Saccharomyces cerevisiae S288C: one gene and its partners. Changing the gene in region 2 together with the main gene of any one other region gives a genetic interaction. Each region holds a gene or a part of one and is shown on either strand. Other genes may lie near its edges.

What was found.
Region 1: mutations in BRR2 (region 2) and JJJ3 impair growth when combined (synthetic growth defect), as found in Saccharomyces cerevisiae (2 studies listed by BioGRID, with this or other methods).
Region 3: mutations in BRR2 (region 2) and SKY1 impair growth when combined (synthetic growth defect), as found in Saccharomyces cerevisiae (2 studies listed by BioGRID, with this or other methods).
Region 4: mutations in BRR2 (region 2) and HUB1 impair growth when combined (synthetic growth defect), as found in Saccharomyces cerevisiae (2 studies listed by BioGRID).

What each region holds. Positions count from the first base shown.
Region 1 is NC_001142.9:609,658-614,325, forward strand, and holds JJJ3 (Jjj3p), read left to right. Parts: upstream 1-2,755; coding exon 2,756-3,274; downstream 3,275-4,668. Other genes in the region: SFC1 (Sfc1p), read left to right, coding at 116-1,084; YJR096W (aldo-keto reductase superfamily protein), read left to right, coding at 1,538-2,386; YJR098C (uncharacterized protein), read right to left, coding at 3,529-4,668.
Region 2 is NC_001137.3:529,020-538,375, reverse strand, and holds BRR2 (ATP-dependent RNA helicase BRR2), read left to right. Parts: upstream 1-2,354; coding exon 2,355-8,846; downstream 8,847-9,356. Other genes in the region: RAD24 (Rad24p), read right to left, coding at 97-2,076; TFIIH/NER complex ATP-dependent 5'-3' DNA helicase subunit RAD3, read right to left, coding at 8,958-9,356.
Region 3 is NC_001145.3:697,220-703,179, reverse strand, and holds SKY1 (serine/threonine protein kinase SKY1), read left to right. Parts: upstream 1-2,140; coding exon 2,141-4,369; downstream 4,370-5,960. Other genes in the region: GUA1 (GMP synthase (glutamine-hydrolyzing)), read right to left, coding at 1-1,390; GAS3 (putative 1,3-beta-glucanosyltransferase), read right to left, coding at 4,810-5,960. UniProt on the Saccharomyces cerevisiae protein: Constitutively active kinase, specifically and sequentially phosphorylates serine/arginine (SR)-type shuttling mRNA binding proteins in their RS dipeptide repeats.
Region 4 is NC_001146.8:686,743-690,919, forward strand, and holds HUB1 (ubiquitin-like protein HUB1), read right to left. Parts: upstream 723-4,177; coding exon 501-722; downstream 1-500. Other genes in the region: putative serine/threonine-protein kinase PPG1, read left to right, coding at 1-374; ABZ1 (4-amino-4-deoxychorismate synthase), read left to right, coding at 893-3,256; SOL1 (Sol1p), read left to right, coding at 3,579-4,177. UniProt on the Saccharomyces cerevisiae protein: Forms conjugate with SPH1 and HBT1. Involved in morphogenesis.

The DNA of each region.
Region 1 (4,668 bases), on a different chromosome or scaffold from region 2:
CATTGAAAGAAACTTGGCATCTTCCCTATTACTAAAACTAAGAATACTTGATTCAAGAAAGAAGTTTATATTAGTTTTAGCCGTAAGATAACATAACAAAGAAGAAGAAAGAAAAATGTCTCAAAAAAAGAAGGCTTCCCATCCAGCCATCAATCTCATGGCTGGCGGCACAGCAGGTTTATTTGAAGCATTGTGTTGTCATCCTTTAGATACAATTAAGGTGAGAATGCAAATATACAGACGGGTAGCTGGTATTGAACATGTTAAACCCCCAGGATTTATTAAAACTGGGCGTACCATTTATCAAAAAGAAGGTTTCTTGGCTCTGTATAAAGGTCTAGGTGCTGTGGTCATCGGTATTATACCTAAGATGGCAATCCGTTTCTCGTCTTATGAATTCTATAGAACCTTATTGGTTAACAAGGAATCAGGAATTGTGTCTACCGGTAATACTTTTGTTGCTGGTGTTGGGGCTGGTATCACCGAAGCTGTTCTTGTCGTGAACCCGATGGAAGTTGTAAAGATTAGGTTACAAGCTCAGCATTTAACTCCGAGTGAGCCAAATGCTGGTCCTAAATATAACAACGCCATTCATGCAGCCTACACTATTGTCAAAGAAGAAGGTGTTTCTGCCTTATATAGAGGCGTTTCCTTAACTGCGGCAAGGCAAGCAACTAATCAGGGTGCTAACTTCACAGTTTATTCTAAACTGAAGGAGTTTTTGCAGAATTACCATCAGATGGATGTCCTACCTTCATGGGAAACTTCTTGCATAGGTTTGATTTCGGGTGCTATTGGGCCGTTTTCCAACGCTCCATTGGATACTATAAAGACAAGGCTGCAAAAGGATAAGTCCATCTCATTGGAAAAACAGTCCGGTATGAAGAAAATCATAACCATTGGTGCTCAACTACTGAAAGAAGAAGGTTTTAGAGCTTTGTACAAGGGTATTACCCCAAGAGTGATGAGGGTGGCTCCAGGTCAGGCTGTCACCTTTACCGTTTATGAATATGTAAGGGAGCATTTAGAAAATTTGGGTATATTCAAGAAGAATGACACACCAAAGCCAAAGCCATTAAAGTAGATGATGAACAATGGGACTACAAAATGAAATAAAGAAAAAATAGAAATAGGCTAGAAGATCAATTATTAATCGCCCTATTCTTCCTTATTACCTACACAAAATAAAGCAGCAACATAAGAAACAAAAACAAAATGAAAACAAACCAAATAAATCTATGTAAGCATACTCATTTCAATTTGATATTCATTACTTGACTTTTTTGTCCTTATTTGAGGCTCCATAAGCGCGCCATTTTTCCCTACTCCCTTTTTTCGTAAATAGTAATAATGTGCTGAAAAGAACAATGAAGTAGTTATCATACATATTCCGTCGTGTCGATATGAGGGGAGGTGTCTCTTTCTTTCATCCCTTGTCGCAACCTCCAATATATAAGAGCATAAGCAACTGATCTTACTTTAGTAATTAACTTAGCATACCTAGCCCGAAGGAAGAAAAAAAATTCACCTCAACAACATGGTTCCTAAGTTTTACAAACTTTCAAACGGCTTCAAAATCCCAAGCATTGCTTTGGGAACCTACGATATTCCAAGATCGCAAACAGCCGAAATTGTGTATGAAGGTGTCAAGTGCGGCTACCGTCATTTCGATACTGCTGTTCTTTATGGTAATGAGAAGGAAGTTGGCGATGGTATCATTAAATGGTTGAACGAAGATCCAGGGAACCATAAACGTGAGGAAATCTTCTACACTACTAAATTATGGAATTCGCAAAACGGATATAAAAGAGCTAAAGCTGCCATTCGGCAATGTTTGAATGAAGTCTCGGGCTTGCAATACATCGATCTTCTTTTGATTCATTCGCCACTGGAAGGTTCTAAATTAAGGTTGGAAACTTGGCGCGCCATGCAAGAAGCGGTTGATGAAGGATTGGTTAAGTCTATAGGGGTTTCCAACTATGGGAAAAAGCACATTGATGAACTTTTGAACTGGCCAGAACTGAAGCACAAGCCAGTGGTCAACCAAATCGAGATATCACCTTGGATTATGAGACAAGAATTAGCAGATTACTGTAAATCTAAAGGTCTCGTCGTCGAAGCCTTTGCCCCATTGTGTCACGGCTACAAAATGACTAATCCAGATTTATTAAAAGTTTGCAAAGAGGTGGACCGTAATCCAGGTCAAGTTTTGATTCGTTGGTCTTTACAACACGGTTATTTACCACTACCGAAGACTAAAACTGTGAAGAGGTTAGAAGGTAACCTTGCAGCCTACAACTTTGAACTGTCAGACGAACAGATGAAATTTCTTGATCATCCTGATGCTTATGAGCCTACCGATTGGGAATGCACAGACGCGCCATAAAAAGAAAATGCGAACCGTAGAATAACGTATATAGAACATATAATTAGTTTACGTTTCACAAAGTATTAATATTACATGTAGCTTTTTCAGGACTTTCGATCTAAATCAAAGATTAAAGGAGCTGCTAGAGGTAGAAAAGGAAATCATTGACTTTTCTTGAAGATTTATGAGCGGGTAACTGGAGATGGAAATTTTCAGAAAAATTGTAAATGGATGCGATGACTTCGATGTGACGTTACTAGTCTTACCATTGTAAAAACCACTATCGGTGCCAAAAGATAAGCGCAATCAACTAAGAAATTTACCACGCTCTTTGTATTGTATTTATCTCCAATTTAATCTTTCTTTTGGTGTGAAAATTTAGCGAAAATGTCATTGGTGAATTCGTTAACACACTACGAAATTTTAAGAATTCCATCGGATGCAACACAAGATGAAATCAAAAAGGCATATAGGAATCGGTTACTAAATACGCACCCCGATAAACTTTCTAAAAGCATACATGATACGGTTAGCAACGTCACAATCAATAAGATTCAAGATGCTTATAAAATACTATCGAATATAAAAACTCGTCGCGAATATGATAGGTTGATCCTTGAAAACTATAAACGCCAAGGATTTCATAATTGTGGTGATGGGCTGGATGAATTTTCCTTAGACGATTTCTCATTTGATGAAGATAAGCTGGAGTTTATGATGAATTGTCCTCGCTGTCAATTTGTTGGTGGTTTTCATTTTAGTGAGAGTTTGTTAGATGAATGCATTGATAATGTAGACGCTATGGAACGGAGTCATTCTGGTTATCAATTATTAACCCAATGTAGCGCATGCAGCTTATGGCTGAAGGTTAATTTTGACATCGAGGAAGAGCAAGAAGGACAATAATGAAAATGGGAGGGGAAATTGAGCATATCAGATAAATCTGTTTATAGAATTATTATTTTACTTCGTGGGAAATCGAATGGTGTATATAAAAGAGGTTGTAAAATTGACGAAATAAATAGTATTTAGGCAACTAAAGATAAAAAAATATTATTTATTTTTATTCGCGGTGCGTTGCCAGATTTTTTTTGACATGCGGAATTTTGGTAAAAAGAAAAATGCAGATATGAATAGTAAACAAAGGAATAAAAAGCCTTTCATGAAGAAGTTCGTGTTCGAGATCTTCTTCCTTCTTTTTCGCTGTCGACGATAGATATGAATGCTTTTGCCATTGATTTCAAATCCGTCATTAAGCTAACATGACCTGAAGAACTGGCGATTTTACAAACAACTGGAAAGCCTCTCTGTTCAGGCAATAACCATTTATGGTGAACAACACCGTCGCCCGGACCATAGTAAAAATCTTCATAATTCCCATCTTTTATATCTTGTATACCGTTCACTTTAGCACCTCTAACAGTGGGAACCTTGTTACCGTAAACCATGGCCAATGGAGGATATTCTTTGTTCGGGTCGTAATCTAAGCTATCCAAATAATTCTTTGTACGTTTTAAAGTTCTCGCTAAATATTCACAGCTATCTTCATAAGATGTATGGAAGACTTCATCGAAAGGCACATCCCTTGGTACCTGTTTATTATTGCCGGCTACATTCCTAACAACAGGTGCATTTAGGACAAACTTGGTAGTTGCGTTTAGGGTAGCTTTAAGCGAAAGCGCTGATTTCGTTTTCCTTGGTAATAATTTTGATTTTTCGTGAGCTGATTCCTCTCTTTTCTCATTGACGAGAGGTGACAAGCCAAGGGTTTTCCAAACATCTGTATCAAAAAAATCGAAATCATACCTCTCTAAGGTAATTTTGTCAACAAAACATCTACCATCTAACGGTAGAAAATAGAAACTACTTCTCATAAAAAAGTTGGTTTCTTTAGTGAAAATAGTTTTATTCCACATCACATCATCTCCAAACCTAATAGGACCTAAAATATTTGGACATTGGCTTGGGGAACCCACGTAAATAATACCTCTTATCAAATGAGTACAGTCTTGCAACACTTTATGTGCGACCAATCCGCCCATTGAATGGGCAATGATGTATATTCCCTTCTTATTTTTTTGCTTATTGTAAATTTCCTCTAGTTTAGTCGTTAAATGCTTGGCAGATATGTCCAAGGATAATCTCCAATCATAGCCAAACTGCTGAACATTTAAATTAGGATTTGCGTCTAGCCTCTTTATCAACCTCTTAGAGATATCAACAGGCCCTATATGTGTTAGCATTCCATCAGGGACAATCTCCTTCTGAGTTTTAAGTTCATCTTCGTCATTAGGTCCGAT
Region 2 (9,356 bases):
ATATTTTTATTTATTAATTTATTCTAGAATGTAATGTGCATAGATTTGTGTGGAATATTTCCTGGGGTTTTCTCGTCAAATTTAAAGAGTAAAAAGTTAGAGTATTTCCAGATCTGAATCTGAAAGGGACTCACTGATAACTGGCGCTTTACGCGGCTGTCTCTGGGACAGAATTTCACATAGAGACTCGTCTTCGTCGCTTCTACCAAATGTTTCATTGCCAATATTATTGCTGTTATCGCTATCGCTATCGACAATAGGGTCATCATTAAAAGAAGTTTCTTCGTCTTCAAGATCGTCGTTAGCCATCATCACATTTCTTTCATATTGGTCAATCAACATGCGAAGCCTTCTGTCCCTTTCCTTTTTTTGATCCTCTAAATGGTCACAATTATTGCTATCATTATCCATCAATGGTGCTAGTCCATCCTCCACAGATAGTGCTTCGATAGGCCCGCCTATCCGATCCACAACGTCGATTCCGTTCTCAACTTTCATTATATCACTAAATTTGTCCATGGTTTGTTTGGGCCCCGAGGAGCCACTCGGAAGATTCTTCAAATAATAGAGAATGTATTTTTTTTTATAACTCTGACACTTTCTAATTAGAGGTGCGTAGTAGCCAAATTCTAGAGTTATATTCCTGAAAGAATGTACCGCGTTGTACTTATAAAGACTAACATTTAACCAATCTTCAGCTTGAACTTTAAATGAATTTTGTAATTTTCTTACTTTCCATTCTCTTGGAAAATAAACCGTTCCATGATTATGGCCTTGTTTACTGATGTTACGAAAGGTTTTGCGCACTTCTCGTAAACCATACTCATTGGATTCTGGTAGACCATTCATATTATCACACTCGCTCAGGCAATCCACAATTGATGATGCATCAGAAATGCTGAATTCGCCTTTATTAAATGTGTTATAGTTCTCTAATATTCCTAATTTGAAATCCTCTTTCGATAACAAATTGTTCGAATTTTCGAAGAGGTTATTAATCATTTCGTTATCGTTATTCGTGCTATGGGAACCATGTATCACCTTCCCAATGGCATGAAAGTATGATATGGTGGATTCTCGGGTTGAAATCGGCAAACTTCCACTTGATGTCGCCCAAAATTGAAGGGTCGTAATGGCCGACCTAATATCACCAGTCTCTTGCGCAATATAATCTATGACTTCCTGTCTTTTATTCCATTTATTTTTCTCCTTCAACATTTTCATATTCTGTACACAAATAAATTTCAAGTGCTTTTTTAATAAAGTGCTGTTAATTGGATTAAACTTAATTCTTTTCAACCTTGGATGCATCAATATTTCTTTGTTCATTATGGTTTCTGCACTAAATGTATAATCAATACCAAATTTGCGATAATTATTATCGTTCTCTGGAATTTCACATTCAGTTATACATATAACAAGGGGAGGTAATAGAGGCTCCGAACTATATAGCCACTGTAATATAAGTTGTTGAAATCGACGTCTGGTATCTATATGGAAGACGTTGGGAAGGTCCTCGATAAGTATTAATGACAGGTTGGACATCACAAGATACCGTGCGCCTTTTAAGAACTCACTAAAGCTTTCCATCTGAGGAAGATCGTTGACTATACAATCACCTCTAAACTCGGTCACTTTATGCTCGTTCGGGGTGCTTCGAAAGGACGTTCCGTTGCTGTTTTGTCTGTATTTAGGAACTAAGATTTTTGAGAGTTCTTTTATGACCGTACTTTTAGAGCATCCACTGGGGCCAGACAGTAGTAGGATCCTATGCTTGGCGTTAGGTAAAAACATGGCATCTAAAGCTTCTTGTACATCTTTAAGTTTTCTTTTATGTATGGCCACTTGCTCCAAACAATTGGGCTTGAACTTTTCGTACCACTGTTCACCGCCGTCGTCGTTGATACTTGGGAGGATACTAGACGTATCTTGCTTGGAAAGAAAGTCATTTTCAGTGCTTCTCGCCTTACGAACTGGCGAAGTCGGTCTAGATGAGCTCCATTTTGTTATTTGCGAGCCCAATGAACTGAGACTATATTGTAATAAGGGCCGTTTGTTCAAATTCGTACTATCCATATCATTCAGACAGGAACAAACTTGATAATTAGTGGTGTTGAATCAAGTACTATTAACGCATTGTGATGATCTCTCAGATATCAATGCGTGTTTGCTTCTTTGACGATCTAATATTGAATATTGTCGCTCTTTACGAGAATATTAAAAATTTATGCTACTAAAGCTATGTCTACTATAAAGGAATAATACACTAATAGAGATAATCTTGAGTAAAATAAGGTGAAGGTAAATATAAGTAATTGCTTTGGAAGATTTACCGTGAGCCTTCGTTATTAAAAATGACTGAGCATGAAACGAAGGATAAGGCCAAAAAAATTAGAGAAATTTATCGTTATGATGAGATGTCCAATAAGGTGTTGAAAGTTGATAAACGCTTTATGAATACCAGCCAAAATCCTCAAAGGGATGCGGAAATATCACAACCAAAATCCATGAGTGGTAGAATTAGTGCTAAGGATATGGGACAGGGCCTGTGCAATAACATTAATAAAGGACTAAAAGAAAATGATGTAGCCGTTGAAAAAACTGGAAAGAGCGCATCATTGAAAAAAATTCAGCAGCATAACACCATTTTGAATTCTTCCTCCGATTTCAGGTTACATTATTATCCAAAGGATCCCTCAAATGTCGAAACTTACGAGCAGATTTTGCAGTGGGTTACAGAAGTTTTAGGCAATGATATACCCCATGATCTTATTATTGGAACTGCTGATATATTCATCAGACAATTGAAAGAAAATGAGGAAAATGAGGATGGTAATATTGAAGAGCGAAAGGAAAAGATCCAGCATGAGCTAGGCATCAATATAGACTCCCTGAAGTTTAACGAATTAGTTAAACTTATGAAAAACATTACCGATTATGAAACACATCCTGACAATAGCAATAAACAAGCAGTAGCAATTCTTGCCGATGATGAAAAATCAGATGAAGAAGAAGTAACAGAAATGTCCAACAATGCTAATGTTCTTGGGGGAGAAATCAATGATAATGAAGATGATGATGAGGAATATGATTACAATGACGTTGAAGTCAATTCTAAAAAAAAAAACAAGAGGGCATTGCCAAACATTGAAAACGATATAATTAAACTCTCCGATAGTAAAACAAGTAATATCGAGAGCGTTCCGATATACTCAATCGATGAATTTTTTTTGCAGAGAAAACTTCGGTCAGAGCTTGGTTACAAGGATACCTCTGTAATACAAGACCTGTCAGAAAAAATTTTGAATGATATTGAAACACTTGAGCATAATCCAGTAGCGTTGGAGCAGAAGTTGGTTGATCTGCTTAAATTCGAGAATATATCACTGGCTGAATTTATTCTCAAGAATAGATCTACAATTTTTTGGGGCATACGACTGGCGAAGAGCACAGAGAATGAAATACCGAACTTAATAGAGAAAATGGTTGCAAAAGGTTTGAATGATCTTGTGGAACAGTATAAATTTAGAGAAACTACACACTCAAAGCGTGAACTCGATTCCGGTGACGACCAGCCACAGTCTTCGGAAGCAAAAAGAACAAAATTCAGTAATCCAGCAATACCGCCCGTCATAGATTTGGAAAAGATTAAATTCGACGAAAGTTCTAAATTAATGACCGTGACAAAAGTATCCCTACCGGAAGGATCATTCAAAAGGGTGAAACCACAATATGACGAAATACATATTCCAGCTCCTAGCAAACCTGTTATTGATTATGAGTTGAAAGAAATTACTTCTCTACCAGATTGGTGTCAGGAGGCGTTTCCTTCATCGGAAACAACGTCCTTAAACCCTATACAATCAAAGGTTTTTCACGCAGCATTTGAAGGTGATTCAAACATGCTAATATGTGCACCCACTGGTTCAGGTAAGACGAATATCGCGTTATTGACGGTATTGAAAGCCTTATCCCATCATTATAACCCGAAAACTAAGAAATTAAACCTTTCTGCATTTAAAATTGTTTATATAGCACCCTTGAAAGCCTTAGTACAGGAACAAGTCCGAGAATTTCAAAGGAGGTTGGCTTTTCTAGGTATAAAAGTCGCTGAATTGACTGGTGATTCTAGGCTTAGTAGAAAGCAAATTGACGAGACGCAGGTTTTGGTGTCTACGCCAGAGAAATGGGACATAACTACTAGAAATTCAAATAATTTGGCCATCGTAGAACTTGTTCGTTTGTTGATTATAGATGAAATACATTTGTTACATGATGACAGGGGACCAGTATTGGAAAGCATCGTGGCTAGGACATTTTGGGCTTCCAAATATGGCCAGGAATACCCCAGAATAATAGGCCTTTCTGCCACCTTACCAAATTATGAGGATGTCGGTAGGTTTTTAAGAGTTCCGAAGGAAGGATTGTTTTATTTTGACTCCTCATTTAGACCGTGTCCTCTATCTCAACAGTTTTGTGGCATTAAGGAACGGAACTCCTTGAAAAAGCTGAAGGCTATGAATGATGCTTGTTATGAAAAGGTATTGGAATCCATCAATGAAGGTAATCAAATAATCGTGTTTGTTCATTCTCGAAAAGAAACATCACGAACAGCAACATGGTTGAAAAATAAATTTGCTGAAGAGAACATTACTCATAAATTAACCAAAAATGATGCAGGATCGAAGCAGATTTTAAAGACAGAAGCAGCCAACGTACTCGATCCAAGTCTACGAAAGTTGATTGAAAGCGGTATAGGGACGCATCACGCAGGGCTGACCAGAAGTGACAGATCCTTATCTGAAGATTTATTTGCAGACGGGTTGTTGCAAGTATTGGTATGCACTGCGACGTTAGCATGGGGTGTTAATCTACCTGCTCATACAGTGATTATAAAAGGAACAGATGTCTATTCACCTGAAAAGGGGTCCTGGGAACAACTTTCTCCACAAGATGTACTTCAAATGTTAGGTAGAGCAGGCAGACCGAGATATGACACATTTGGCGAGGGTATTATAATAACAGACCAATCGAATGTTCAATATTATCTCTCGGTTTTAAATCAACAATTACCAATAGAATCGCAATTTGTTTCAAAATTAGTTGACAACTTAAATGCAGAAGTTGTCGCGGGTAACATTAAGTGCAGGAATGATGCTGTGAATTGGTTGGCGTATACTTACCTATATGTCAGAATGTTAGCTTCCCCTATGCTTTACAAAGTACCTGATATTTCAAGTGATGGGCAATTGAAAAAGTTTAGAGAAAGCTTAGTCCATTCGGCCCTATGCATTTTAAAAGAACAAGAGTTGGTGTTATATGATGCTGAAAATGATGTAATTGAGGCGACCGATCTAGGAAATATAGCGTCGTCATTTTACATAAATCATGCTTCCATGGATGTTTACAATAGAGAGTTAGATGAACATACAACTCAGATTGATCTTTTTAGAATATTCTCAATGTCGGAAGAGTTTAAGTACGTATCGGTGAGATATGAAGAGAAAAGAGAACTAAAACAACTTCTAGAGAAAGCACCCATTCCTATCAGAGAAGATATTGATGATCCTTTAGCAAAAGTGAATGTACTACTGCAGTCTTATTTTTCCCAGCTAAAGTTCGAAGGTTTTGCACTTAATTCTGATATAGTGTTTATTCACCAAAATGCTGGTAGGTTATTGCGTGCTATGTTTGAAATATGCTTGAAGAGAGGATGGGGACATCCCACACGGATGTTGTTAAATCTTTGCAAATCTGCCACAACTAAAATGTGGCCAACAAACTGTCCTTTAAGACAGTTTAAAACATGCCCTGTCGAAGTGATTAAAAGGCTGGAAGCCTCTACAGTACCGTGGGGAGATTATCTACAGCTAGAAACACCTGCCGAAGTTGGTCGTGCAATCAGATCTGAAAAATATGGAAAACAGGTTTACGATTTATTGAAAAGATTTCCCAAAATGTCCGTAACATGCAACGCTCAGCCAATTACCCGTAGCGTTATGAGGTTCAACATTGAAATAATAGCCGACTGGATATGGGATATGAATGTACACGGTTCCCTTGAACCTTTTTTGCTCATGCTAGAAGACACTGATGGTGATTCAATACTTTATTATGACGTACTATTCATCACTCCAGATATAGTTGGTCATGAATTTACCTTATCCTTTACTTATGAGTTAAAGCAGCACAATCAAAATAACTTACCACCTAATTTCTTCCTTACTTTGATATCAGAAAATTGGTGGCACAGTGAATTCGAGATTCCAGTTTCCTTCAATGGATTTAAACTTCCGAAAAAATTTCCTCCTCCTACTCCCCTTCTGGAGAATATTAGTATTTCAACATCAGAGCTTGGCAATGATGATTTTTCCGAAGTATTTGAATTTAAAACTTTCAACAAGATTCAGAGCCAGGTCTTCGAGTCTCTCTACAATTCGAATGACTCGGTCTTTGTAGGTTCAGGAAAGGGCACAGGTAAAACAGCTATGGCTGAATTAGCACTGTTAAATCATTGGAGACAGAATAAAGGAAGAGCGGTTTATATCAATCCGTCTGGGGAAAAAATTGATTTTTTGCTATCTGATTGGAATAAAAGGTTCTCTCATCTTGCTGGTGGTAAGATAATAAATAAGCTAGGAAATGATCCTTCACTAAATTTAAAATTATTAGCAAAAAGCCATGTTCTCTTGGCTACCCCCGTGCAATTTGAGCTTTTGTCACGTCGTTGGAGACAAAGGAAGAACATCCAAAGTTTAGAATTAATGATATATGATGACGCTCATGAGATTAGCCAAGGTGTTTACGGTGCTGTGTATGAAACGCTAATTTCTAGAATGATATTTATAGCAACCCAACTTGAAAAGAAAATTCGATTTGTTTGCCTTTCGAACTGTTTGGCAAATGCTCGTGATTTTGGTGAATGGGCTGGTATGACGAAGTCAAACATCTACAACTTTTCTCCAAGCGAAAGAATTGAGCCTCTTGAAATTAATATTCAGTCATTTAAAGATGTTGAGCACATATCATTCAATTTTTCGATGCTTCAAATGGCATTTGAAGCATCTGCTGCTGCAGCGGGAAATCGTAATTCCAGTTCGGTGTTCTTACCATCTAGAAAGGATTGTATGGAAGTTGCGTCTGCATTTATGAAGTTTTCAAAAGCAATTGAATGGGATATGTTGAACGTTGAAGAAGAGCAAATTGTACCATACATTGAAAAGTTAACAGATGGTCATCTAAGAGCACCTTTAAAACACGGTGTTGGTATTTTGTATAAGGGGATGGCATCAAATGATGAAAGAATTGTGAAAAGGTTATACGAATATGGTGCGGTATCGGTTTTACTCATTTCTAAGGATTGTTCTGCATTCGCTTGTAAAACTGATGAAGTGATTATTTTAGGAACCAACCTTTATGATGGTGCAGAGCATAAATATATGCCATATACCATAAATGAACTTCTAGAAATGGTGGGACTAGCTAGTGGTAACGATTCAATGGCAGGCAAGGTTTTAATTTTGACAAGTCACAACATGAAGGCCTACTACAAAAAATTCTTAATTGAGCCTTTGCCTACTGAGAGTTACCTACAGTATATTATTCATGATACTCTGAACAACGAGATAGCAAATTCTATTATACAAAGCAAACAAGATTGTGTTGACTGGTTTACATATTCGTATTTCTATCGTCGTATCCATGTGAATCCAAGCTATTATGGCGTAAGGGATACGTCTCCACATGGAATTTCAGTTTTTTTGAGTAATTTAGTTGAAACTTGTTTGAATGACTTAGTTGAATCATCCTTCATTGAAATTGACGATACAGAAGCTGAAGTAACCGCAGAAGTTAATGGAGGAGATGATGAAGCAACTGAAATCATTTCTACCTTGAGCAACGGGCTAATTGCTTCTCACTATGGCGTATCATTTTTTACTATTCAGTCATTCGTTTCTTCTTTATCGAATACGTCAACGCTCAAAAACATGCTGTATGTTCTTTCAACAGCAGTAGAATTCGAAAGTGTTCCACTCAGAAAAGGAGACAGAGCATTACTTGTCAAATTAAGTAAAAGACTACCATTGAGATTCCCTGAACACACCTCTTCTGGTTCGGTGAGCTTTAAAGTTTTCTTATTGTTACAAGCATATTTTTCACGTCTTGAATTACCTGTCGACTTTCAAAATGATTTAAAAGACATTCTAGAAAAGGTTGTTCCACTAATTAACGTAGTGGTTGATATCCTTTCAGCAAACGGGTATTTGAATGCTACTACCGCCATGGATTTGGCGCAGATGTTGATTCAGGGTGTATGGGACGTTGATAATCCGTTGAGACAGATTCCACACTTCAACAACAAAATTTTGGAAAAATGTAAAGAAATTAACGTCGAGACGGTCTATGATATAATGGCCCTTGAGGATGAAGAGAGGGATGAAATTTTAACGCTTACTGATTCACAGCTTGCGCAGGTCGCCGCGTTTGTTAACAATTACCCCAACGTTGAACTTACTTATTCGTTGAATAATTCTGATTCGTTAATTTCAGGTGTAAAACAGAAAATTACCATTCAATTGACAAGAGATGTTGAACCTGAGAACTTACAAGTAACATCTGAAAAGTATCCGTTTGATAAGCTAGAAAGTTGGTGGTTGGTTTTAGGTGAAGTATCTAAAAAAGAGCTTTATGCGATCAAGAAAGTTACTTTAAATAAAGAGACTCAGCAATATGAATTGGAATTTGACACTCCGACATCTGGTAAACATAACTTAACAATTTGGTGTGTCTGTGATTCATATCTTGACGCAGATAAAGAGTTGTCCTTTGAAATAAATGTGAAATAAAATCATTGTTTAGTCCTGGATAATCGAATGGATTTCAATATATAACATTCTCTTGCGGCTATTTAATCTAATTGTGATATATACAGTTTATAGCAAAAGCGTATCATTGCATCACTGCATTTCTATATCTTCATCTTCATCTTCATCCTGTTCTCCTTCTTTGTTTTCGTTTTCAATAAATCCACCTTGATCTTTTCTGCTATTCTGGTGCTTTATTAAATCTTCATAACTCCAAACAGATACACCCTCTTGGTCTTTAGGGTCTGTGGGTTGTGCCATTGTTCTCAAGAATTGTTTGGTATTGGATATGGCCATGTCAGTCGAAAGGTTCAAATCGGCGTCAGACAAACCTTGAGCAATCCATTTTGGTAACTGGCTTCTTTTTCTTGAAAACCTACGGTCTGCTAGTACCATTACACCATAGTCGTCCTTCCCTCTCAGTACTCTCCCCAGACATTGAGCTGCATGTCTCATCGCATCGAAAGATAAGAAGTCGTTTTCTCTGATGCG
Region 3 (5,960 bases), on a different chromosome or scaffold from region 2:
TTTGGTCACCCATAACACCAACGGATTTAACGGGCAACAAACAGGCAAAGGCTTGGGAAATTTGGTTGTATAAGCCGGCCTTCTTGATTTCTTCAATGTAAATGTTGTCAGCTTTTCTTGCTATTTCGACTTGTTCCTTAGTAACTTCACCTAGAACACGAATAGCAATACCTGGACCAGGGAAAGGGTGTCTCCAGACTAGATCATGAGGGATTCCTAATAATTCACCTAGATGCCTGACTTCGTCTTTGAACAGTTCTCTCAATGGTTCAATTAGCTTTAATTTCATGTTCTCTAGTAAACCACCGACGTTGTGATGAGTTTTAATGGTTTGAGAAGGACCTTTGAAAGAAATGGATTCGATGACATCTGGATAAAGAGTACCTTGTAACAGGAATTGAATCTCCTTACCATCTTTTGGCTTAATTTTTTCAGCTTCTCTTTCAAAGACGTGGATAAATGTGTTACCAATAATCTTTCTCTTCTTTTCTGGGTCAGTGACACCCTTCAATTTACTTAAAAATTCTTCGGAAGCATCGACAACCATCAAGTTGATACCTAAACCTTCGACAAGGGTCTTTTTAACGTTAGCAGCTTCATTTAATCTCAAAACACCGTTATCGACCAAGATGGCATGGAATCTATCACCGATGGCTTCTGTCATCAATTTGGATGCAACAGTAGAATCAACACCACCGGAAACAGCACCAATGACTTCAGCAGTTGGACCGACCAGTTTTCTGATTCTGTTTATTTCAGTGTCGATAAAGTTTTCCATAGTCCAGTTTTGCTTAGCGTGACACAAATCAACGGCGAAGTTTTTCAAAAGAGTCTTACCTTGGGTAGAATGTGTAACTTCTGGGTGGAATTGAATACCATAGATTGGCTTAGTTTCGTGGACAATACCACAGTATGGGGAGTTATCGGAGGTGGCAATGGTCTTGTAACCAGTTGGCAAGCCGTGCAATTTATCACCGTGAGACATCCAGACAGTAGAGTCGTTCATACCTTTGAATAGAGAGTTGGAATCGTCAATCACCTTCAAAGTGGCAGGACCGTACTCTCTCTTGTCACCACGACCAACTTGTTTACCATTAATCCAAGCCAATTCTTGCATACCGTAACAGATACCCAGGATTGGAACGTTCAAATCAAAGATAGCATGGTCTACGTGTGGAGCGTCTTCAGCGTATACGGAATATGGACCACCAGAAAGAATGACACCCTTTGGAGTCCAGCCCAACTCAGAGATCTTCTGAGTGCATGGCAACATCTCAGCATAGATGTTAAACTCTCTTAATCTTCTGGTAATCAAATGAGAGTATTGAGAACCAAAGTCTAACACTAAGATAGTGTCAAACATGTTAGAAACTTGTTCACCGGCAGCCATTGTGAATATTGATGTCGTTAGTTTATTTTAGAATATAGATATTACCTACCAAATGACCCAGGGAAGTTAAACTACAACGAACGCAAGCTAATTAGAGACTACCGTGACCGAAACTATAACTCAACTAATGTTTTATAACTGTGAAATGAAAATGAAACTGAAAAAATGATAAAAAAAAGAAATATTTTTTCTCGATGCTCATCGCCAAAGAAAAAAAAAATTTTCATTTCCTGCAAGCAAGAAAAAGAAATGACGGCATGAAAAGAGTCAAAATGTCGGGAACCGAAGCCATTGTAGGGGAGCGAGAGGATGAAAGCATATTCCTGTCACCAACGTCACGAAGAAATGAGTCGGCTACTTGACAACCTTGTTTTTTCGCTGTTAAACATAATTAAAGGTTCTATTTGGCAACACCTCATAATTATATCACTATCCACGTGATATTAAATCGTTACGGACGAGCCTATATTATTTCCGGATTTTTTTCTAATTTCTTTTTCTATTTTTCTAAATCTTATCGTCGTTATTTATTTGAAAGAGAATAAACAATGAGTGTGGGCTATGAAAGAGCTATAGAGAAGTCACAGGATATAGAGGGATCTATTTGTAGCTGGCAAGTTAATAGAGATTGGAAAACTGATTCAAAATTGTTAGATCACCTGGCGCTGAGAAATAATTGTGTTTTTTGGTATAAATAGACACCCCCTTTTGAGGTTGAAGAGATAGAGTAAAGAAGAAGTGTAGACATTAATGGGTTCATCAATTAACTATCCTGGGTTTGTGACTAAAAGCGCTCATTTGGCTGACACTAGTACGGATGCGAGCATTTCATGTGAGGAAGCAACAAGCTCGCAGGAAGCGAAGAAGAATTTCTTTCAAAGGGATTATAACATGATGAAGAAGGCGCCTGCTCCAACGAAGTCTAAACTGTCTTTGGCCTTGCAGACTTCCAAGTCATCCTCTAGTGCCAACGGTACTGTACAAGAGGATACTTCCTCGAAGACAGAAGATTTTTCTACAAAGAGCATTAAGAAAAAACCAGATAGCGGCGTTGAATCGCATGTGTCCATCCAATCGGATTCGGGGCCACAATCAGACTCAGATTTGGATTCAGATTCCTCTATCTCATCATGTGACGAAAGGAACGAAGAGTCTTTGAAAGATTACAGGCCGGGTGGGTACCACCCTGCCTTTAAGGGCGAGCCCTATAAGGATGCACGCTACATTTTAGTAAGAAAGCTGGGATGGGGCCACTTCTCCACCGTTTGGTTGGCAAAGGATATGGTAAACAACACTCACGTTGCTATGAAGATTGTTCGGGGCGACAAAGTTTACACAGAAGCTGCTGAAGACGAAATTAAGCTTTTGCAAAGAGTGAATGACGCCGATAATACAAAGGAGGATTCCATGGGGGCTAATCATATTTTGAAATTGCTAGATCATTTCAACCATAAGGGCCCCAATGGCGTCCATGTGGTTATGGTATTTGAAGTCCTCGGCGAGAACTTACTGGCTTTGATAAAGAAGTATGAACATAGGGGCATTCCATTGATTTATGTCAAGCAAATATCGAAGCAGTTACTGCTTGGTCTTGATTACATGCATAGGCGGTGTGGTATTATACACACAGATATTAAACCAGAAAACGTGTTGATGGAGATTGGAGATGTTGAGGGTATCGTTCAAATGGTCGAGGCACTGGATAAACAGAAGAGAGAGGCAAAAAGGTTGCAGAGGCACGTTTCGCGGTCTTCTGATATTACCGCGAACGATAGCAGTGATGAGAAATGGGCAGAATGCCAAACAAGTATGCCCTGCGGCTCAAGCTCAAATTCCAAATCTCGTTCTATAGAGAAGGACTTGTCAAAAAGATGCTTTAGAAGACCTAGACGTCATACAATTATCACAGGGTCGCAACCATTACCTTCCCCAATTAGTTCATCAAATTTCTTTGAAATGAGGGCGCACTTTTGTGGTAGTAGTCACAATAGCTTTTCCTCCGTATCTGGGAATAGGAACATTCCATCTTCCATCAATAATAACAGTATTAATAATGGCATAGGCATTAAGAATAGCAACAATAGTTTCTTAAATTCAGTACCACATTCTGTGACCAGGATGTTCATAAATGAAGACAGTAATGATAACAACAATAATGATAATAGTAAAAATAAAAATAACAACAATAACAACAGTAACAACAATAATAACGAGGACATAATGAACACACCTTTGCATGAAGAGCAGCTGGCAGACTCTTTATCTACATTTGATATTTCCAATATATCACAAAGCTCCGATACAAATGGTCCATATATTTCTAATACTATGGATTCAAATTCAAACGTCAGTACCGATATCAACTCCCCAGAAAATTTGATTCAGATCAAGATTGCTGATTTAGGTAATGCTTGTTGGTATGACGAACATTACACGAATTCTATACAGACAAGAGAATACAGATCACCAGAGGTGTTACTAGGCGCCCCTTGGGGTTGTGGTGCAGATATATGGTCTACTGCTTGTCTAATTTTTGAATTGATTACCGGAGATTTTCTTTTCGAACCGGACGAAGGTCATTCCTACACTAAGGATGATGACCATATTGCACAAATCATCGAGTTATTGGGAGAATTACCATCATACCTTTTGAGGAACGGCAAATATACAAGAACTTTCTTCAATTCAAGAGGGCTTTTAAGAAATATCTCGAAATTGAAATTTTGGCCCTTAGAAGATGTTTTAACTGAAAAATATAAGTTTTCTAAGGACGAAGCCAAGGAAATATCTGATTTTTTGTCGCCTATGTTACAGCTAGACCCAAGGAAAAGAGCTGATGCAGGTGGCTTGGTTAACCATCCATGGCTCAAGGATACCTTGGGTATGGAAGAGATTCGGGTACCTGATAGAGAGTTGTACGGGAGTGGTTCCGATATCCCCGGATGGTTTGAAGAAGTCCGCGATCATAAAAGACATTGATTACCTTTATACCTTTATTTTGCCCTTGCCTTTTACTTTTTTTTCTGTTTAACCTCTTTTTTGCATACTTTAGTTCTCTGCTCAGTTGTTTATTTTTCAGTAGTTTTTTTGCAATTTTTTTTTTTTTTTTTACCAAAGTAAATTTGTAACACCTAGTATAATATTCTGAAGTAACAACAAAAGATTATGCTGATTCTCCTTTCTTTTATCTTTAGCGGTTTTTGAATCCATACTCGACATTTTTTGATTTTATTTTTTGCACCCAATGGTTGTCCTGGTGAAGGATGATGGGTGTGATACCTAAGCGTTTTTGATGAAAAGTTTACTATTTAAAAACATATAAATTGTTTTACATATGTTAAGATAAAAGAACACAAAAAAATAAAACGGTTGAAAACGAAAACAAGTCCATGGATGTTTCAAAAAAATACATGAGCAGCTCAGAGTAGAGCAGAAATCAGACCTGCAAATAATGCAAGGTATCCAGACTGACTAAAGGAAACATTAACAATATTTCCGACGCCTTTACTTTTGGAGCTGCTTGAAGCTGAAGATGAACCGGTGCTTGAAGATGAGCCAGTGCTTGAAGATGGACTGGTGCTTGAAGTTAAGGAGCGAGAAGATGATTGTGATGTGGAAGCTGACTTTGCGACCGTTGTGGCTGTGACGTCTAGTTCGTTCAGTGAGTTAGCTTTGTCGTATGAAATAGTAGCTGAAATGGTATCATCTTTATTGTTTTTAATTGTATAGTTAAAAGTAGTTGGAACAGCATAATCAGTCAATATCTTACCGGTGTTGGTGCCATTAACACCGTATTCAATCATATTGGCAATTTCTGCTGGTTGAGAAGGCAAAGTGAAATTGTTCGTTCCAAAGCCAGAATAAATATTGGTGATGGCACTGTTATCGCACTTGTAGATAGAGTCAGAAGATATTTCGCTTTCTTTTGTTGTTGGCAATGAAACGTTCTTCAATTGTGATTCTAAATTAACAAAATCATCCTTATAAGTTAAAGAACCGCTATCATCAAGCTTAACCAAACCGTAATTATTAGCTTCTTCAGTGTATTCGTATACCAACCCACCAGAGAAGACGTTCTTTAAACCACCATACAAACCCTCAGAGACTTCGTCAAAAGTTCTTGGTGTATTTTTGTTGCAACCATACTCAGAAAATATCAACGGAATAACAGCATCTTCGAAAGTTGAGTTTAACTTGTCATAGCCAGAAGATTCCCAACTAGAAGTGCCAGAGCACCATTCATAAGTATTTAGGCCAAAGAAATCAGATTTAGATATGTCCAAATCATCATTGACTTTGTTTCCATCCAACGAATTACACTGCAAGTACTTGAAGGTTGCTAACCTCAAATCAGTATTGTCAGCAGCAGAATATCCGACTGGGATGCTTCTGTTCGCATGTTTTGAAATATACTGTTTCATATCTCTTTGAACAGCGCGGATGTATGGAGGATCAATTTTTGCATAGTCGCTTTGATCATTTATGACTTCGTTGCCAGAAAAGAATCCTAGCACGTTAGGGTAGTTCTTGAAAGCGTCAATAAATTTGAAGACTCTTGACAAATACAAAG
Region 4 (4,177 bases), on a different chromosome or scaffold from region 2:
GAGCCCATCAGTTATGTAACGAAGGTTACCAGATATATTTTGATGGATTGGTTACTACTGTATGGTCGGCGCCAAACTATTGTTATCGGTGCGGCAATAAAGCATCTATTCTGGAGCTGTATAGTAAAGATCAATTCTACTTCAACGTTTTCGAAGAGGCACCTGAAAATAAACTGTTGAAAGAGAACAGTATGAACGACAATGCCTTAGAAGATAGCATATCTAATCCGGTAGCCAACAGGAAATTGATTGCAGATTATTTCGAAGACGACTCTGCCTCCGCAGATGGCTCCACGGACCCTGAAATGTACATATTTTCAGATGTATACCAAGCCAGATCTGCTTCTAACAGACATGTTGATTACTTCTTGTAGCTTACTAAACAATAGAAAAGCATTATAGAGACAACGCCATCTTATTATTTCTACATATTCTATCTCTCTCGGTTGCAAATGTATGTATTGTGTATTTAGATCAAAAAAAAAAAAACAGCGCATTTTCTACAGGTAATACAGCTCCAAATTTGTCTGATCATGTACCTCATAATCTTCCAGAGAGATATGGTCTTTTAAAACACTTCCACCCTTCTGCAACACAATTTTGTTTGGTTGGGTGCCAATTTGCAAGGACAATACTTTTTTGAAATCACCTACACTATCTTCAGCAAGGCACTTCACTCTGACTTTTTTGCCTAATCGGTCATTCACAACTACCTCAATCATTTTCAGAGTATTTATTTGCAATCTAAGCTTTGCCACCGCTCCTCTTTCTCAATCTTTTCCTCTCCCTCCTCATCTCTCTCAGCCAAAACCGCGAATATATAAAAACAAGCAAGTCTCCCGTAGAACTTTTACACGATGACCTTTCGAGATTTCACAAGGGGGATAAAGGAATGCTGTCCGATACAATTGACACAAAGCAACAACAGCAACAGCTTCATGTCCTGTTCATAGACTCTTATGATTCATTCACCTACAATGTAGTGAGACTAATTGAACAACAAACTGATATCTCACCGGGAGTCAACGCCGTGCACGTGACGACGGTACATAGTGATACGTTCCAATCTATGGATCAGCTATTGCCACTTTTGCCGCTTTTTGATGCTATCGTTGTTGGCCCAGGACCTGGGAATCCCAACAATGGTGCACAAGATATGGGTATAATATCTGAGCTTTTCGAGAATGCCAATGGAAAGTTAGATGAAGTTCCAATATTGGGTATATGTCTTGGGTTCCAAGCAATGTGCTTGGCTCAAGGTGCTGATGTCAGTGAGCTAAATACTATCAAGCATGGGCAAGTGTATGAAATGCATTTAAACGATGCAGCCAGAGCTTGTGGCCTTTTTTCTGGTTATCCCGATACGTTCAAATCTACGAGGTACCATTCATTGCATGTCAATGCCGAAGGCATTGACACCCTTTTGCCCTTATGCACAACCGAAGATGAGAACGGTATTCTTTTGATGAGTGCTCAAACGAAAAATAAGCCATGGTTTGGCGTACAGTACCACCCGGAGTCATGTTGTTCAGAATTGGGGGGGCTGTTAGTCAGTAACTTTCTCAAGTTGAGTTTCATAAATAACGTGAAGACAGGAAGGTGGGAAAAGAAGAAACTTAATGGAGAGTTTTCCGATATCCTATCTCGATTGGATAGGACTATTGATAGAGACCCCATATACAAGGTAAAAGAGAAATATCCGAAGGGCGAGGACACAACTTACGTTAAGCAGTTCGAGGTCTCTGAAGACCCGAAATTGACATTTGAAATTTGCAACATCATACGAGAAGAAAAATTTGTCATGTCATCTTCTGTGATTAGTGAAAATACGGGTGAATGGTCTATCATTGCTTTACCAAACTCCGCATCCCAGGTATTCACTCATTATGGAGCTATGAAAAAGACTACAGTTCATTATTGGCAAGATAGTGAAATTAGTTACACCTTGTTGAAAAAGTGTCTAGATGGTCAAGATTCGGATTTGCCTGGCTCCCTTGAGGTAATACATGAAGATAAATCCCAATTTTGGATCACTTTGGGTAAATTTATGGAGAATAAAATAATCGATAACCACAGAGAAATACCTTTTATTGGAGGTCTTGTTGGCATTTTAGGTTATGAAATAGGTCAGTACATTGCATGCGGCCGTTGCAATGATGATGAGAATTCCCTTGTTCCCGACGCCAAACTAGTTTTTATCAACAATAGTATAGTCATTAATCACAAGCAAGGGAAGCTTTATTGTATTTCTCTGGATAATACATTTCCAGTGGCATTAGAACAATCATTAAGGGACAGTTTTGTTAGAAAGAAGAATATTAAGCAATCCCTGTCCTGGCCCAAGTATCTTCCAGAGGAGATAGACTTCATTATAACTATGCCCGATAAACTTGACTACGCTAAGGCGTTTAAGAAATGTCAGGATTATATGCATAAGGGTGATTCTTATGAAATGTGTCTCACAACGCAAACCAAAGTTGTACCATCTGCGGTGATAGAACCCTGGAGGATTTTCCAGACCTTGGTACAAAGAAACCCGGCTCCATTTTCAAGTTTTTTTGAGTTTAAAGACATTATTCCCCGCCAAGATGAAACGCCTCCAGTTTTGTGCTTCTTAAGTACTTCTCCAGAAAGGTTTTTGAAGTGGGATGCAGACACATGCGAGCTACGTCCCATCAAGGGAACTGTGAAAAAAGGACCGCAAATGAACTTGGCAAAAGCCACACGAATCCTGAAGACACCAAAAGAATTTGGTGAGAACTTAATGATTTTGGACTTAATCAGAAATGACCTTTACGAGTTGGTTCCTGACGTTCGGGTGGAGGAGTTCATGTCCGTGCAAGAATATGCCACCGTTTACCAACTCGTTAGCGTCGTAAAGGCACATGGATTGACCTCTGCCAGTAAGAAGACGAGATATTCAGGCATTGATGTCCTTAAACACTCGCTTCCTCCGGGATCTATGACGGGAGCCCCCAAGAAGATTACTGTGCAATTATTGCAGGACAAGATAGAAAGCAAGCTAAACAAACATGTCAATGGTGGAGCACGTGGTGTTTACAGCGGTGTCACGGGATATTGGTCTGTGAATTCCAACGGAGATTGGTCTGTTAACATTAGATGTATGTATTCCTACAACGGCGGAACCAGCTGGCAACTCGGTGCAGGGGGGGCCATAACAGTCTTAAGCACACTAGATGGCGAACTAGAGGAAATGTACAACAAGTTGGAGAGCAACTTACAAATTTTCATGTAGATATTTGTATATTATTAGATATGTATGCAAACATTTTCTTTAGAATAATATACTATTCTTGTACGATGCAGAATTTTTTTTTTTTTTCGCTTTAGGAAAATGACGTTTTGTGCCGTGGAAAACCCTGGAAAAGGATATTGGAAAAAAGTTAAAGCATGGTCATTTAGGGAAGACTTTCCTTCCAATTTACTTATCAATAGGTTATAATGTATGCTTGACGGAGCAGAATTCTTTCAAACCATAAGATAATAGATATTATAACATTTTAGTACATAAAAGAGGCCCGAGAAAATAGATTTTAACTGGAATAATTTTTTGCAAGATGACAACAACCGTACCTAAAGTGTTTGCATTCCATGAATTTGCAGGAGTAGCTGAGGCAGTTGCCGATCATGTTATTCACGCACAAAACTCTGCCCTTAAGAAGGGCAAAGTCTCAAGGTCCACACAGATGTCCGGAACGAGCCTTAACGGAAATGGTAACACAGAATCCAAAACGATGGAGAGAGTAAATTCTGTAAGGAGTAATGCCTCCAGCCGTGGTGGTAGTGAAGACGGCGCCACTAAGAAATTGAAAAAGGAGAAAGAAAGGCGCTTCAAGATTGCGTTGTCCGGTGGTTCGTTAATCCAAGTGTTGCACGAAGGATTGTTGAAAAGAGACGACGTTCAATGGGGTAAATGGGACATTTACTTTGCTGATGAAAGACTAGTGCCCTTTAGCTCCAGTGAAAGCAATTACGGTCTTGCTAAGAGAAAAATATTCGATTTAATAGATACGGAGAAGTACGGAACTCCGAAAATTTATCACATTGATGAGTCATTGATTAACGACCCTCAAGAGTGTGCAGATAACTATGAGAAAATTCTAATTAAAGGATTTGCCGGTAGAGATTCTGTGAAACTACCGATGTTTGATCTGTT